Linked DNA regions of Alligator mississippiensis. The protein of the gene in region 1 interacts with the protein of each later gene in a biochemical or structural test. Links are inferred from orthologs where the notes say so. Each region holds a gene or a part of one and is shown on either strand. Other genes may lie near its edges.

Region 1 (7,503 bases):
TCCACAAATGAAAGCCCTGTATGAAATTCTCTGTGGACAGAAGGGAATAACCAAACCTGGGTATTTGGCTCAAAACATGATAGGAAGCATGAATTTTAAGAGGGGTTTTGGGATTTGATGTAACTTCCCTGAGATTTTGTATTTGATGTCCAACAAAACCAGGCACTATAATTATGCCCCTCAAGTCTCAGGATTTCTGTCATATTGCTATGTCATAACATGTCTAAGATTTTTAATTAATTAAAAAAAGAAGAAAATTCAATTGGATAAAATGAGATCTAAGTAGCATGTGACTTGTGACTTAGGTGACCCTGCTTGGCACATGAGCCAGCAATAAAACGTAATGTAAATGTTTTGGTCAGTGTGCCATATATATAATGTTATTACAAAAATACATTAATTATAGACTTTCTGTATGACTGTCTCTGTTTCTTTTGGTTTCTGTCCTAACCATATCTGCCATAACATATATGGTGTGACTCAGCCACACCTTGTTCCTGCTGATCTGTTCTCCCACCCTGTTCTTCCACCCCACCAGGAGGAGTAAGCCGTGTTACAGGTGGGATGAACCCCAGCATGTAGGTATAGGAAGAAACCAGATGAATGTGTGAGGGTAGGATGTGGCACTTGCTACTTGTGTTGAGGAGTTAGAAAAGGGGTGAATGGGGGAGCTAGGGTGAACATGCCCTGACTGTCACAGTGTATAGTAACAGCCAGAAAGCTAAGAAATCTTTTGCAAAAATCTCAGATCTACAAAATCAGTCCTGTTCAACACTTAGGAAAACAGGACTGAAAGTGAAATCTGGGGTCATTGAATCCAATCCCATGCTATCACAAGGAACCACATCATCTGTAATACCTCTCATAAACTGTTCAAGCTCCATGTTAAAATTAGTTAGGTCTCCCCCCAGCCCCAGCCCACCAAGTTCTCCCAGCAGAAGGCTGTACTGGTTGGATAGCTAGAAATCTTCTTCAGGTTCCAGGCCAATCTGATTCAGGGCCAGTTCAAACCCATTTGATCTTTGTACCAATATTTTTTCTTTAAATAGCTCTTCTCACTCGCTGGTCTTTACTCTCCCCGTGCATTTAAGAGATCAATCCAATCCCCTCTAAATCTTCATTTTGTTATCTTAAATAATAATACAACTTCTTGTGGTCTCATTATGTAAGGTTCTCTATTCTTCTGCTCATTCAGTATCACTTCTCTGTTCATGTTCCAATTCCAATTTACCTTTCTTGTATAAGAGTGATCAGTTGTACACAGCATGGCAGATGACATCTTACCAACGTCTTGTACACTGGCATTAGTATTTCCTCATTTCCTCTGTCTCTCCTCAGTATATTTTATTTGATATGTCCTAGGATTTGCTTTCCCTTCCCCTCCCCCCCCCCCAACCCTGTGGCTGCATCACACTACGATAGCTCATAGTTGTTCTGTGAAACTAATGTACCCCAGAATTTCTCATCCTGTTTCTTACTGATGAGCTCTCAGGTAACAGCAGAAATTCTTAGTTCCTAAGTGCGTGTTCTTACACTCTGTATTACTGATTTTTTTCCCATTTCTTTTACTCTACTCATCAAGACCATTCAGTTGCAAATACTGTTCTAATCATCCTCCATGTTGACCAGGCTTCCCAATATTGTACTTACTCCTACTACCCATGTAAGAGAGGTTATTCATCTGGTTAGAGGTGTAGCCCTTTTTTAGAACCCCCCCCTTCCCCAACACACACACACACACACACACACACACACACACACACACACACACACCCCTATATCTTGGGATATAAATTCAAGAAAGTTTTTTGCAACTTTGATGAAAATAAACAAATATAACAATGTGTTGCTGCATAGCAAGGTTCTTGTCAGCTGATATGACATCCTGACTAGTAGGTTAATCTACCATCTCCCCTGATATACCATACCTATATCCTGGTTCTTCACTAAAGGAGCATGGGACTCCTGAAAACATGATAGGTCTCTTTCAGTCTGATTCTTCCTCTTTCTGCATGGTTTGTGGTTTTACTAGATTTGTTTTCTCGTTTCCCTATAATACCTTTTTGTGTTGGGCCTTAGATTGTGAAATAGTTGAGCCTGGTTTGATATTTTGGCCCTGATCCTGGATACACACAAATGCACACACAAACACGTGGAGTTTCAGTAAACCCTGCAGGATATTTGTTCATAGTACCTGATCTCTTTTTTGCCAGTGCACTGGAAGCTATGTAAATAAACAATAGCTTTATAAATGAACCCATTCCTAACCAGCTAAAATTGCATTACCTTTGTAACATTTGCCAATCCATACAGTGGTGGGAACAACAGCTGCCCATTCCACTATTGTTTTTTAAAGTTTAGCAGAATAATAAGTTAATGGATGTGGCTGGTGGGAAACAAATAAATATTTTGATAGGCTCAGCAAACACTACTTCATTGGGGATTTTAGATTGCACAGCTCCCACATGCAACCAGGTAGATCTGTAAACCTTCTGAAGTGAGTTGTTCAGTCTTCTCCCTCTGTAAACAGACTATCAATCAGTCTTTGTTGTTACTGGTTTAAAGAAAAGAATAGTTTGAAGCAGGTTCCTAGGGAGTCTCTGTACATCCTGTTCCTTTTTCTGTGCTGTTACCAGTGAAGGTTTGGGATTAAAACACACACACACATCATTTTAATCCCCAACTTTATACCTATTTTATATATATATTTTAATCCCCAATTTTTAATCCCCAACTATACATATGTGCACAAATGTAGGTGCACACACACACATAATCTATGTTTCTGTGTGTGTGTGTGTGTGTGTGTGTGTGTGTAGACAACATTCTTTGGGTAAATCTTTTATTAGACCATATAAAATAGTTGGAAAAATTATTTGCAAGCTTTGAGTAGAAACAGTCAGGCTGAGGAAGCGTCTACAGTCGGTCTGTGCTCATCCTGGATGGAATAGAAAAGAAATCAGAGGCCAGTATTCATGCAAGAAAGCCAGTCAGTGAAAATGTAGATTGAAGTCAGTTGGTGAGAGACAGGTAGGAGACTAGGAGAAGGGGAATGTAGACCTGGTGTGATAAGAATATAGCTGGTAAATAGTAGAGCAGTTACTTGGGGTGTCAAATGTTAGGCAGGTTATAAATCCAATGTCTATATTTAGTCCATAATTTTTTGTATCCAGTAAACTGATGAAGTGAAGTTTGTAGGCTCGTCTGCAAAAGGTGTCTTGTAAATTCCCTTTGAGGATTGTAAATTCCCTGAGAGACTGGAGAGAGTGATTTTCTTGTGAGAAACGTGCCCCCACAGGTAACTGGGTGTTCTTGTCTTCGATAGGTTCTTGGTGTGTGTTCATTCTGGTACGCACTTGTTGTTTGGTTTCTCCGACATATTTTCCATCACGGCATTTGGTGCACTGGATCCACTCATCCAGTGCACCAAATGCCCTGATGGAAAATATGCAGGAGAAATGAAACAACTGTGTACCAGAATGAACGTGCATCAAAAATCTATGAAAGACAAGAACCTTGTCTGCCCATGTCCTTAGGCTGGCATGACTACAACCTATACCCCTGATATATGTAGGTATGTATGTGTGTATGTGTATATACATATATATGCATACATACAAATATATACATATATGCATACACATATATGTCCATGTACATATACAAACAAGGTTATTTGGGTAAATGTGATATCTTTTATTAGACCCACTGAAGAGTTAGAAAATTTGTTCTTTACAGGCTTTTGGGCACAAACACCCTTCTTTAGGCATAGGGAGAGTCTCCTGGTGCTTGTCTACTCACTCTCTCACACATATACACATATACACACAGTGTGCAGCTCTAGGGTCGCCCTTAGCCCTCAGCTGGCTCATTCACAACCCTTCACTTCACCTGTGGGAATGATGATCCTCAACTGTGAGGAATTGCCCACGGTGACATGTATACATTTATACATTTAATAAATACATATGATATACACATATGCATACACATCCTCACACACACACATATATAAATACACATCCACAACCCATCTGCACACATATGCGTATACACTCATCGTTGCACATATGTACACATACACATATATACATCCACACACACATCCACATACGCTCGCCCACACATATGTACACATACACACCCACACATCCACACCCATCTGCGCGTGCACACACCCCCACACACGTACGCACCTCCACACCTATTCATATAGGCACATCCCCACAGCCATCTGTACACACATCCATCCCGATGTAACCCGTGCACACATCCATCTCTCCCCGTCCACATGCCCACACACAACACAGATACACCGATACGTATATAGACGCCCCCCACCCCCGGGCTGTGCGCTGCCCCGGTCCCCGGCGCCGCCTGTTGCGCTCCCCGGGCCGGCGCGCGGCGGCGGCGGCAGCCTGGAGAAGAGGCTGGCCGCGGCGCTGGGGCCCGGGCGGGCAGCAAAGGCCAGGCAGCGGGCGGCGGGTGCCAGCCCCGAGGCGCTCCCGCAGCAGAGGGCCCTTCCCCGGCAGAGGGGGCTGCGGCGGCGCTGCCAGGCGGGCCGGCTCCGCGGCGGGTGCTGCCCGGGCTCGCTCCGCGCCAGAGGCGGGAGCCGCGGACCTGCCGCCGCTCGGGCCGGGCCGGGCCGGGCCGGCCAGGAGCGGCGATGCCGGGCGCCCCGCGCGCCGCTGCCGGAGGAGGAGCAGCCGCCGCGGGCGCCACCTCCCCCCGCCCCGCCGTGGAGCAGCCGCGGCGGCGGGAGTGAGGAGGAAGCGGGGCCGCTCGCCGGCTGCATGGATGGACGTGTTCGGCTTTGTGCGGCTCGCCAAGCTCCCCGGGTAGGCGCCCGGCGGCGGCGGGGGGCTGGAGGGGGCAGCCCCTGGGGAGGGAGGCGGCCCCCGGCTCGGGCTTGGCGCCGGTGGCTCCTCTGGCGGGGCGGGGGTGCGGGGAGCGGGGAACCAGCAGCCTCTGCCTGCCAGCGCGCGTGGAGAGCGGCCAGGCGGGCTCCCGAGGTGCCTTCCAGCCCTCACCCCGTGCGGGGCAGGGCAGGGCAGGGCAGGGCAGGGCAGGGCAGGGCCGGCCCCTTGGCTCCCCGCTAGAGCAGGTGGCGGTGCTGGGGACCAGCCGCCTCTGGTGCTAGCGAGCGTGGAGAGCGGGCCAGGTGAGCGTCGGAGGTCCCTTCCAGCCAGCAACCCCAATGCCGGCCAAGGCCAGCTCCTTTACTCCCCACTAGTGCAGGTGGCGGTGCTGGGGACCAGCCGCCTCTGAGTGTCAGGGAGTGTGGAGAGTGGGCTACGTGGGCTCCTGAGGTCCCTCAGCCCCAGTGGAGGGCAGGGCCAGCCCCTTGGCTCCCCACTAGTGCAGGTGGCAATGCTGGGGGGGGCTGGGAAACCAGCCGCTTCTGTGAGTCAGTGAGCATTGAGAGCAGGCTAGCTGGGCTCCTGAGGTTCCTTCTAGATATCAGACCTAGTGCAGGGCAGGGCCAGCCCCTTTTCTTTCCACTCTGGGGAACCAGCTGCCTGAGTGTCAGGGAGCATGGAGAGGGCTAGATGGGCTCCTGAGGTCCCTTCCAGCCCTCAGCCCCAGTGCCAGGCAGGGCCATCCCCTCTGATCCCCACTAGTGCAGGTGGCACCCTGTGTGTTGGGGGTCCAGGGGAGCTGGGATATCAGCTTAAAAGCCAGCGAGCGTGAAGAGCAGGCTAGGTGGGCTCCTGAGGTCCCTTCCAGACCTCAGGTGCTGGGGTTTCATGAGTGAAGGAAGTCTCAGGTTGGCACACAGGGCTGGGCTCTTTCAGCTGTCCAGAGAAACTGCTCTCTCTCCTCCTGGCACCTGAAGGCTGGGCTTTAGGTGTGGGTGAAAAATGCTGGCAGAGGGTGCAGAGGCCCCATTGCAGGCTACCCTCCTGGGGCTTTGTTACTGGGTAACTGTGGGCAGATTGGCCCCTGATTGTCTGCACATTAACACCTTGAAGTGGTTTAAGCACTCTTTATGTGGCAAAAAGTTATGCCACTCCAGGGCAGGAATCTCCATCCTTGGAGTTTTTAGGACCTGGCTAGACAAAGCCGTGGCTGGGATGATCTAGTTGGGGATGGTTCTGCTGTGAGCAGGGGGTTGGATTAGGTGACCTTCCAACCCTTGTTTTCTGTGCTTCTATGATTGTGTCTGATCTGCACCACCGCGCTCCTTTTCCACTAAGGTGTGGCCACTTCCCCAAGATGTGCTGCCCAAGTTGGAGCCCTCCAGTATCCCAGGTTCTCTCACATCCCACCTAGTAGAGCAGGGAGAGAAGCCTGCCATGGGTCACCAGCTCTCCAGTGGCAACTCACAGCGACAGCTCCCAGTCCTGCCCCTGCTCACCAGGCCCCTAGGGACAAGTTACAGCTGTCCAGGTCAGGGGTAGTCAAAGGTTTCTAGACTAAGGATGTGGCTGCTCCAAACTCCAAGCTAGCACTATCACTGATCAGCATTTGTGCAGCGCACAGTGTAAGGTGTAACAAGGCCCCAAACCAGCTGAATTTCCTCAGTGAAGAGGTTTAAAAATAAGAAGCAATACCATTTTTTTATCTTCCAGTAACACAGGAAATCAGCTTCTTAGTGAGGCAGTAGAAAAGTTCTTTAGCTGCTGGATTTTTCTGCTTTTTTTTTCATGTTGATAATCTTCCTAAAGGATTTAGCTTTCATTACAGTAGCTAGGGGCATTTTGCATTTCCCTGTTTTAGTGGTACAGCAGAGAGATGGCTGGCTTTTGAGCCTTTCTTACTGGAAAGGCATGACATGTGGTAGGGGGGAAGGGGAGAGGCTTGCTACAGAACTACTGTCCATCTCGGATTTTGATACATTGCTTTTCAGAAGGACACTTTTTTCCTCCCAAAACAAATGTTACTGGGGTGGCAGCTGAAAAAAATTCTACAGGTGGGCTGGCCGAAACAGCATCTGCTTTAGTCTCTTCCTCCCATTGCTGTCGGGATTTCAGCTTGTCTGGTGACAATGCTGCTGTAGAACAGCCCCTATGGGCCTGAGCACATGTTTGCTTAATTCTGTTCAGAACAAATTTTGGTGTCATGATGCCTAAACCATGAAGAACTAAGTCTTCTCTGCTCTCATTCCCAGTATTGCTACCTCTGGGGGAGCTGCAGTGGCAGGGAAATAGGGTGGGTAATGCCCTGATGTAGATAAGCCTTTGAAGAGCAGGTCATGTGGCATGATCTTTGTTTTAAGATGTATCAAATTATTTGCTTCCCATGTTTGTTTAGGAACTGTAGTTGAAAAATCCCTTGTGTTTAGGAATTGTTACACTTGAGCTAGAACCGAGTGTAGGGCAGAGAATTTAGGGAGGTTAAGGGGACTACGCTAAGGGTCATTACATTAATGTTAAGAGTTTAGAAGTCAGGTTGCTTTCTGACAACATTTTTTTTTGCCATCTCCTATGTTTAGTTGGCTAACAGCGTTCTTAAAGAAATGGTCTGCTCTGCACAGATGCAGCTACTCGTCATATCTCTTCC
Region 2 (7,671 bases), on another chromosome or scaffold:
GGGGCAATGCTCCTCTCCCTTGCCGGTTGAGAGCGCTCCTGCCCTTCCTGCGCTAGGAGCGGATGAGCTTGATGTTTTTGCTTTGTGCTGCCTGGGGCCGGTGGAGGTCTGGGAGGGCCTGGCGGGGCAGCAGCAGGGGACTGGTGAAGCAGGACAGGGACCGAATCCGGTGCTGAGCAGAGGGCTCCTGTCTCGCTTGCTGTCTTGTCCCCGGTAGAGGCCAAGACCACAACTGTCGTCAGCCCAGCGCCAGCAGCTAGATCCTCCCCGGTGCCCTGGGCTGGCAGGGACCGTCTCTCCTGTGTAGGCAGGACGGCGGGCCCGGGGGCAGTGACCCCGTCCTGCTGCTGGGGCAAGGGGCTGTGCGGGGGAACGACGAGGAAGCAGTGTTACTTGCCCATGATTGCTTTGCTGCAGGGCCTTTGAGCCGGGAGTCTATTTTACTTGTTCTTAACTATTTATGTTAATAAATAGACCTGAGCTGGACCAAGAAACCTTGCTGCTGCATGTGTCTGAGGGCTTCTGTTCTGGCAAGGGGAAGCTGGGCTCAGGCGCTGGCTTTTGTCTGCTTGCTGGGGAAGGACAGGCACTACGCAGAGGACAGGGGAGGAAAAGTAGAGTAACTGCAGTGGGAGATCCCTGCCTTGGCACAGAGTTACTGGGCCTCCGGTCCGGCCTCCTGCTCATTCTCCTGCCTGTCAGCTGGCTCACATAGCCTCCCTGCCTTGCAGCGTGCTTGGAGAGGGTCTGAAAGCCTGTCTTGAGGGGGAAGAGGTTACTGACTCAGTGTGAAAGGGCTCTGGGGCAGCCTAGCCCAGCAGGGTTTGTACAGCGGGGCTGGCACGCACGTGCTTGCACTCATGGCTGGGCTCTAGCTGCATCCACACCTGGGCATGCGGGCAGAGACCTGGATGGGGGCTGCCGGCTCTCTGCACTATGGGTCTGTGCTGGGCCGGAGCTTGTTTCCTACCCTTGGAAACCACTTTCAAAAGAGACCTGGATTGTGTGAGCAAGGACTGGATGAAGTCCAAGTCGCCGGCCGGTGCTGTGCAACGTGCTCTGTCACTGCCACCTCGTGGCGCGGAGAAGGAAGGATGACTAACGTTAAAATGTCCTGGCTCGCTGGTGCCGAGGGTGAGAAAACTGGAGCCAGGCTACTCATGGAGATGACTCAGGGTTAAACATCTTCCCTTGTTTCAAGCCCTCAGTTTTACAGGATTGGGACCTCAAGGAGCCCTTGCCTCTGGGGCAAGGAGGAGGTACTTCTAGGAAAACCTCTCCCTTTCCTAACAAAAGAAGGGAAAGTGAAACTCTCCTGGCAGTAATGTTCCCATAACCTTTGCTGAACAGCTGCAGTAGCCAAGGTCTAAAAGCTCCAGTGTGGGCGAACAGGAGCCCTCCCAAGCACGTAGAGGTGAACGTGGCAGTGGGGCGAAGGTGCACGTATTGCACGTGCCGTGAGCTTGTGAACTGGCTTGTCCCTGGAGCAGATTCCTGGTGCCCCGAGCTCTTCCTGCTTTTGCTTGCAAGCTGTCCGTGGCCTGAGGTGCAGCTAGGGCTGTGGCCTGGCCCCGGCAGCGGGCACGATCGTCTCTCGTGTGGTCCCTCCTGTGACACACGTGGGAGAGGAAGAGCACCAGCCCTTCTTCGTGTCCTGCACCTCTTCAGCTCCTGCTACACCTTGCATATATGTGATTTAATGGGCAGTTGCACAATAAATTTAGACCTACCATAAGTGCAAAGTACTTATCTCACAATGATCTGGTTAATCTCACAATAAATTTAGGCTGGCTGCATGTGCAAAGTAACAATCACCCAATAAAACAACTCTCTAGCTGTAAAAAGAACCAACCTGCTATAAGATTAGTGCTTGAACATGTCACAACTCCAGAGCTGGTTTCCATCCAGCTTTTATTTGAACAGGTAGCAGGGTCCTTGTACCTCTAAGTAGTCTCCTTCAGCCTAGGGTTTGGCAGCTGTTTTGCTCTTGGATCTGCTTCCAGGGATGGATCTACACTGCCTTCTCTCGGGGTGACTTGACTTTGCTGCACCCGAGCCTTTCTTCCCCCGTCTCGGCCCTTGCAGACTGGCAGGGGTGCTCTGCCCTGGATGGAAACGAGAGCAAACTGGGGATGGAGCAAGAGGCCTCTTCCTAGGCACTTGGAGCCTTTGCGGTCGGAGACCCTGACCCTTGCAGCGTGGCTGAAACCCTCATCTCCCACTCAGCATCGCCTAGAGCCCAACACGCATCGCTCCCTGGGTACAAAGAAACGGGCGGCTGTACTGCGCTGCGAGGAGCTGAGGGCTGTGCTGTTCAGTTTTACACTAAAGCAAAAATGAATGCAGCTTGCTCAGGATGTGCACTCACCCCTAGCTGATCTATTAAGTTTTAAAAAAACACAACAAACTGGGTAAAAGTAGTGAAAATAAATGGTTTCATTAGCCGGATAGTCCTTCAAGTCAAAGCGGAGGATCCTAGGTGAGAGGGAGGGGACCTCAGGAGGCCCACCCGAGCCCTTCCCCCCCACAAAGCAGGACCAGCCCCAACTACATCACCCCAGCCACGGCTTCGTGTAGTCCAGTCTCAAAAACCTGCAAGGACGGAGACTGCACCACCTCTCTGGGGAGCCTGCTCCAGTGCTTCACCACCCTCCTCGTGAGAAAGTTTTCCCTAATATCCAACCTCAACTCCCCTTGCTGCAGCCTGAGCCCATTGCTCCTTGTCCTGCTATCTGCTCCCACTGAGACCAGCCCAGCTCCGTCCTCTTAGCAGCCCCCCTGCAGGGAGGTGACGGCTGCTATTCAATCCCCTCGGTCTTCTCTTCTGCAGACTCAACCCCGCAGCCACTCGCGCTGCCAGGTCCCCGGGGTGTCCACGCCGCTCTGCACAGCTGGCCAGCGGGCTCCCCGCCCGCCTGGCTCTTGCAGGAGGCTGCGAGCCCGGGCCCTTGCGGCTGCCCGAGCCGGAGGCCGGGTGCGGCCGGCGGGGCTGGGCTGGGCTGGGCGAGCGGAGAAGGGAAGGGGAGGGGAGGGGAGGGGAGGGAGGGCAGGGGAGGCGGCGGCGGCGGCGGCGGCGCGGGGCTGGGAGCGCTGCCCGCCCGGCCGCCGGCCGGAGGAGCGATGATTAGCAGGAGAGGTAAGGAAGGGAGTTAGGAAGGGAGGGAGGGAAGGAAGGGAGGGAAGCGCTGCGCAACAAGTGTGCCGGGCCGGGCTGCGGACGGCGCTGCGGGGCAAGCCCCGGCCCGGCCCGGCCCGGAGCGGGGTGTGCCCGCGGCTTGCACCCGGGGCATCGTGCCACCCCGTCCCCGCCGGCCCCCGCGCCCCGTGCCCGGCCCGGCCCCTCCCGGCAAAGTCCGGGCCAGACTCTCAAAGTGGGGCGTGGAGGAGGTGCTCCTGTCCGGGGTGCCCCGACCAGCCGGCCGGCCAGGCGTCTCCGTCTGCGCAGGGTTGGTGCCCAGCACCCTGCCTCTCGGCGCCGACGCCGCCTCGGTGCGCAGAGGCCAGGGGTGCAGGCTGAGCCCCCCGTGCTGGCGCCAGCCCAGGGCGGGTGGACAGGGGCATGCCGTGAGCTCTCCCACGAGCGTGGGCCCCTGGGCTCCCGTCCCTGGCTTCCCTGCTCCAGAGCAGGGGTGAAATGGGAGAGCTGCCCACCCTCCTGCCTCCGGCCCGGGGCACCGCTCGCCCGCCTCGCCCCGCAGCTGGTCCTTCCAGGCCAGACGAGCCTCCTGGGGCCGAGGCGGAGGCGCCCCTCGCTCATCTCCAGGGGGTCTGATGCGGGAGGTGTGCACTCCCAGGCAGGTGCAGGGCTCGGGCGTGTGGGGCGGCAGCACCCTGCGTGCGTGCCCCGAAGTTGCAGTTCTCAGCCTGGTTGTTGGTGAGCAGGGGTCTCCCCTCTCGCTGGGCTGAGCTGGCGGGCCGAGAAGTGGACCGGCTGCAGACGGAAGTCCCTTCGGGGCTGGGGGGCAGCACAGCAGCTTGCCCGGCCCCAGCCCGGGCCACGTCTGCTCCGTGAGCAGAGGGGGTTAGCATCCACCGCTGGCCCTCAGCTGGGATTTGCAGAAGCTCATGAATCCCTCCGGCATGCCAGGGAGCCCCAGGCTGTGCCTGGGTCAGGGCAAGCCCTGGCTGTGCAGGCTCAGAGGCAGGCTCCAAGTGTCTCTGTTTGTGCTAGGGATTATTCATGCCTCGCCAGCTTCCCTTTCCCCCTCTGGGCCGTGCACGATGCCCCGGTGCGGTTGGTAGACCACCTTTTTCGCTGGAGAAGGCGAAGCAGCCGCGAGGGGGGAGCACGGCCTGCAGGCAGCCGGTCGTGTCTGGGCTCTGCTGGGCCCAGCCCCCTGGCCGGGCTGCGGCCAGGCTCCCGGGGCCAGGCCGTCTCTTCTGCATTCGCTCCTAGGTCAGGCGAGGAGCCCCTGCCGCTCCCTGGACACGTCCCCTCCCCCTCTCACACAGGCACTCTTTGTTTTACGGAGGCCTCCTAACAAAGGGAAACGTTCCCTGATAGGGACCCGGGGCTCAAGGTCTGTGAGAACCGCTCCTCCTGTCTGAGATGCCCTTTGCAGCCAGGACAGGCTGCATCAGGGCTAACGGTGCCATGCCGGGGACGAGCCCAGAGAAGGGTCAAGCTCCCCAGGCTGGACGAGTCTCCGTTCAGTGCTGGGACCCCCACCCTGGCCTCCCCCACAACCACCGCTTTGCTGCACCCCTTCCTCCCAGTGCAGTCCTGCTCTTCCAGCCCGGGCCTCTCCTTCCACGTCCCTGCCCTGGCCTCTCCCAGCTGCCCCAGAAAGCAGCTCTTGCCCCAGGCTGCGCTCCTGGCTAATGAAGACCAGCTTGGGATGCAGGTCGTGGGTCCCGTGGGGACACCATTTGTCCGAGGGCGGTTCACACGGATTCCCCCTCCTCTGCTTCCAGGGGCAGCCGCAGCCCGCAGGTCGGAGGTGCTGGTGCAGCTCTGGGGTGGCTCTGTACCGTGGGTGGAGCCTGCAGTATAATGCTGGAGGTTTTGGGGGTAAGTGGGCATGTCCCTTGAGCTCTTGCCGTCAGGTTCAAAAGGAATCTGAAGAAACCGAATCTCGCTTTCTGTAGCCGGTGCCTGGCTGTGACTTCCAGATCTCGCTGCAAGGCAAAATGTGGCTGTGGCTGGGAGCCCAGTGACAGCAGGGACGTGGACGGAGGGGTGGAAGAGCCACTCCAGCTGTGAGCGGGGCAGAGTCTAATTGTCTCGTGTGCGTGGGCTCATAGCAGCGTCGGGTTGACGAGGACCCCGGAGGCATCTCGCTCGCCTCCTGCACGCAGGCCGAAGACGCCTACCTAGACCATCCCTGGCTGCTGTTTTTCTAGCGTTAGAGATTAAACTGTGCTTCTCCTGTCTTGCCTCCCTAGACACCCGGCGGGCCGTGGAAATCCTGACCAGATACCAAAGCACTCTGAAGTCTCCAGATGAGCAGCAGCTGAAGACCTCCATCGGGAAGGTCTCGCACATCTTCCGAAGCGAGCTCTTCCAGGCCCTGTTAGGTAAGCACCGTGCAGCATGTGCACCTTGCAGCCCGCTGCTGGGCAGCCTCTCCTGGCTTTGCCCAGAGCAGCCGTGCACCGGGTCTGGGGGAAGGATGCTGGGGGCGTGGGCTCTGATCTCCTGGTGTGAGGCAGACTCCTCAGTGAAATGTGGGCTAAGTAACCTACAGCAGGGCACATGTCAAGGCTTTTCCAGTATCTGCCCCGGCGGGGCAGGAGTGATCCTGTGATTCCACCTTTGTCTGCAAAGTCCTGGGCTGCCATGGGAGGGCTGCTGAGAGCAGCTCGTTGCCCTAAGAAGGCCCCGGGGGAGAAGTTGGAGCTGGGAGCCTAGTTCAAACCCCCCAACCCATTTGTGAGTACAGTGGTGCACGTACAGGTCAAAGCATGTGAGAGGTCAAAGCTTCGTTCCAGAGGTGGAGTCAACCGTGCAAGTCTGTCCGGCTGAAAGGCAGTGAAGGTCAGTTGCTAAGAGGCCCCATGGACCACGATCCCCAGAATCACAGACAAGGAGGGTGGCAGGGACCTCAGGAGGTCACATCCAGTCCAACCCCCTGCTCCAAGCAGGACCAGCCCCAACTGCATCATCCCAGCCAAGGCTTTGTCTAGCCAGGCATTAAAAACCTCCAAGGGTGGAGACCGCACCATCTCTCTGGGTAACCTGCTCCACTTTGCTACCCTCCTCATGAGGAAGTTTTTCCTAATATCCAACCTCAACTTCCCTTGCTGCAGCTTGAGCCCATAGCTCCTTGTCCTGCCATCTGCCCCCACTGAGACCAGTCCAGCTCCGTACTCTTTGCAGCCCCCCGGCAGGGAGCTGAAGGCAGCTGTCGAATCCCCCTCGGTCTTCTCTTCTGCAGAACTCTCTCCTGTCCAGATTCTGTGTTTGGACGGATGCCTCAGCCCTCCAGTTTTTACCATAGTGTTTTTTAAGGAGGATTTTTATCCTCTTGAGTGCCAAATTCAGTGCATATTAAGACTTCTTGAAGTTCTGTGCAGCACTGTGCAAACCCGATGATGCCTCGTGGTGCCATGTTTCAGCTGGACACTGTGCTGGCCATTCAAAGGGCATCTTAGCACTAGTGTACTGTGCAAAGCCTCATCCCGGACTCTCTGCACAAAGCCTGCTCATTCTGGCTGTTGTGCCTGTCCACTCTTATCATCCCTCAGGAAGTAATTTCTCCTGTTTGTTTCCTGTGGGACATAACATTTCACATACATATGGCTGGGGAAACACCTTTCAGTACAGCTCTGTCTATTGGGCACTTAGACCATGAAGCATCTGCAAGTAATACCAAGTGCTGAGGGGGAAATGCATGCTCAAGAAATAAACTTTGGAGCCAGCCCATCTTGCAAGTGAAAGGACACTTGCGTCGCTGTGTAGCTTTGTGTCATTTCTTGGAATTACCAAGTGCAGGCAGAGTTCTCCATTCATTGCCTGGGAGCTTTCTTCACCGGGTCAGACCAGGATGTGCTGTTTGTCCTGTGGGGCAGGGCTTTCCCCAGCATTGTTTACGTGCTAGAGATTTGCATTCGTTGCTCTTTGCTCCGGCTCCTCCTATTCCCACGAGAGGCGTACAGCACTCCTCGCATCTGGCACAACCTGGGCTTTCCCCTCTTCCAAAACACCCCCGTCACAGTGACGCTCCGGGAGCGTTGCTTTTCACTTTTCACTTGCCACGTCTCTGGTGGGCTGGGGTTTCTCCTGCCTGGCGCTCAGGGAGCAGGGCTGGCAGGGACCTTCGGAGACCACGTCTAACCCAACCCCTGCCTGAGGCAGGGTCAGCCCCACCCCATCTATGCAGTTAAATCTGTGGGGCTGTCGTCATTCATCCGTTAGCTCCCTGCTTGGCTGGGCCCGCTGCCTGCCCACCGCACGCTCGGTCGCAGGCGGCAGAGCTCTCCTTGCCGCAGCACACTGTGGCTGCTTCCTCCAGGTCCCTGCTTGTGCCTCGCAGACACCAAGAGGCATGAGCCGGGTCCAAAACTCATGCACCCGCTAGCGTGCAGGGCCCACTTGGTCCTGCCCTCCTCGGTCGGCCCGAGCCTGCCAGCACATAGCCCTCCGTGCCCCGTGCCCGGGGCCGGCAGGGCCGTGTGTCCTGGGGATGGCGAGGGGGACGGTTGGGGTGCGGGCTGCCTGCCATGGGAGCG

The links. The genes of interacting proteins can lie anywhere in the genome.
Region 2: the proteins of FRMPD4 (region 1) and DLG3 interact in a test that uses a peptide from one of them, tested with the Homo sapiens proteins (2 studies listed by IntAct, with this or other methods). The link is inferred for Alligator mississippiensis from reciprocal best matches to the Homo sapiens genes FRMPD4 and DLG3.

What each region holds. Positions count from the first base shown.
Region 1 is NC_081824.1:326,036,213-326,043,715, reverse strand, and holds the start of FRMPD4 (FERM and PDZ domain-containing protein 4), read left to right. Parts: upstream 1-4,488; 5' UTR 4,489-4,797; coding exon 4,798-4,838; intron 4,839-7,503. UniProt on the Homo sapiens protein: Positive regulator of dendritic spine morphogenesis and density. Required for the maintenance of excitatory synaptic transmission. Binds phosphatidylinositol 4,5-bisphosphate.
Region 2 is NC_081831.1:82,909,430-82,917,100, forward strand, and holds the start of DLG3 (disks large homolog 3), read left to right. Parts: upstream 1-4,658; 5' UTR 4,659-4,821; coding exon 4,822-5,011; intron 5,012-5,385; coding exon 5,386-5,517; intron 5,518-7,671. UniProt on the Homo sapiens protein: Required for learning most likely through its role in synaptic plasticity following NMDA receptor signaling.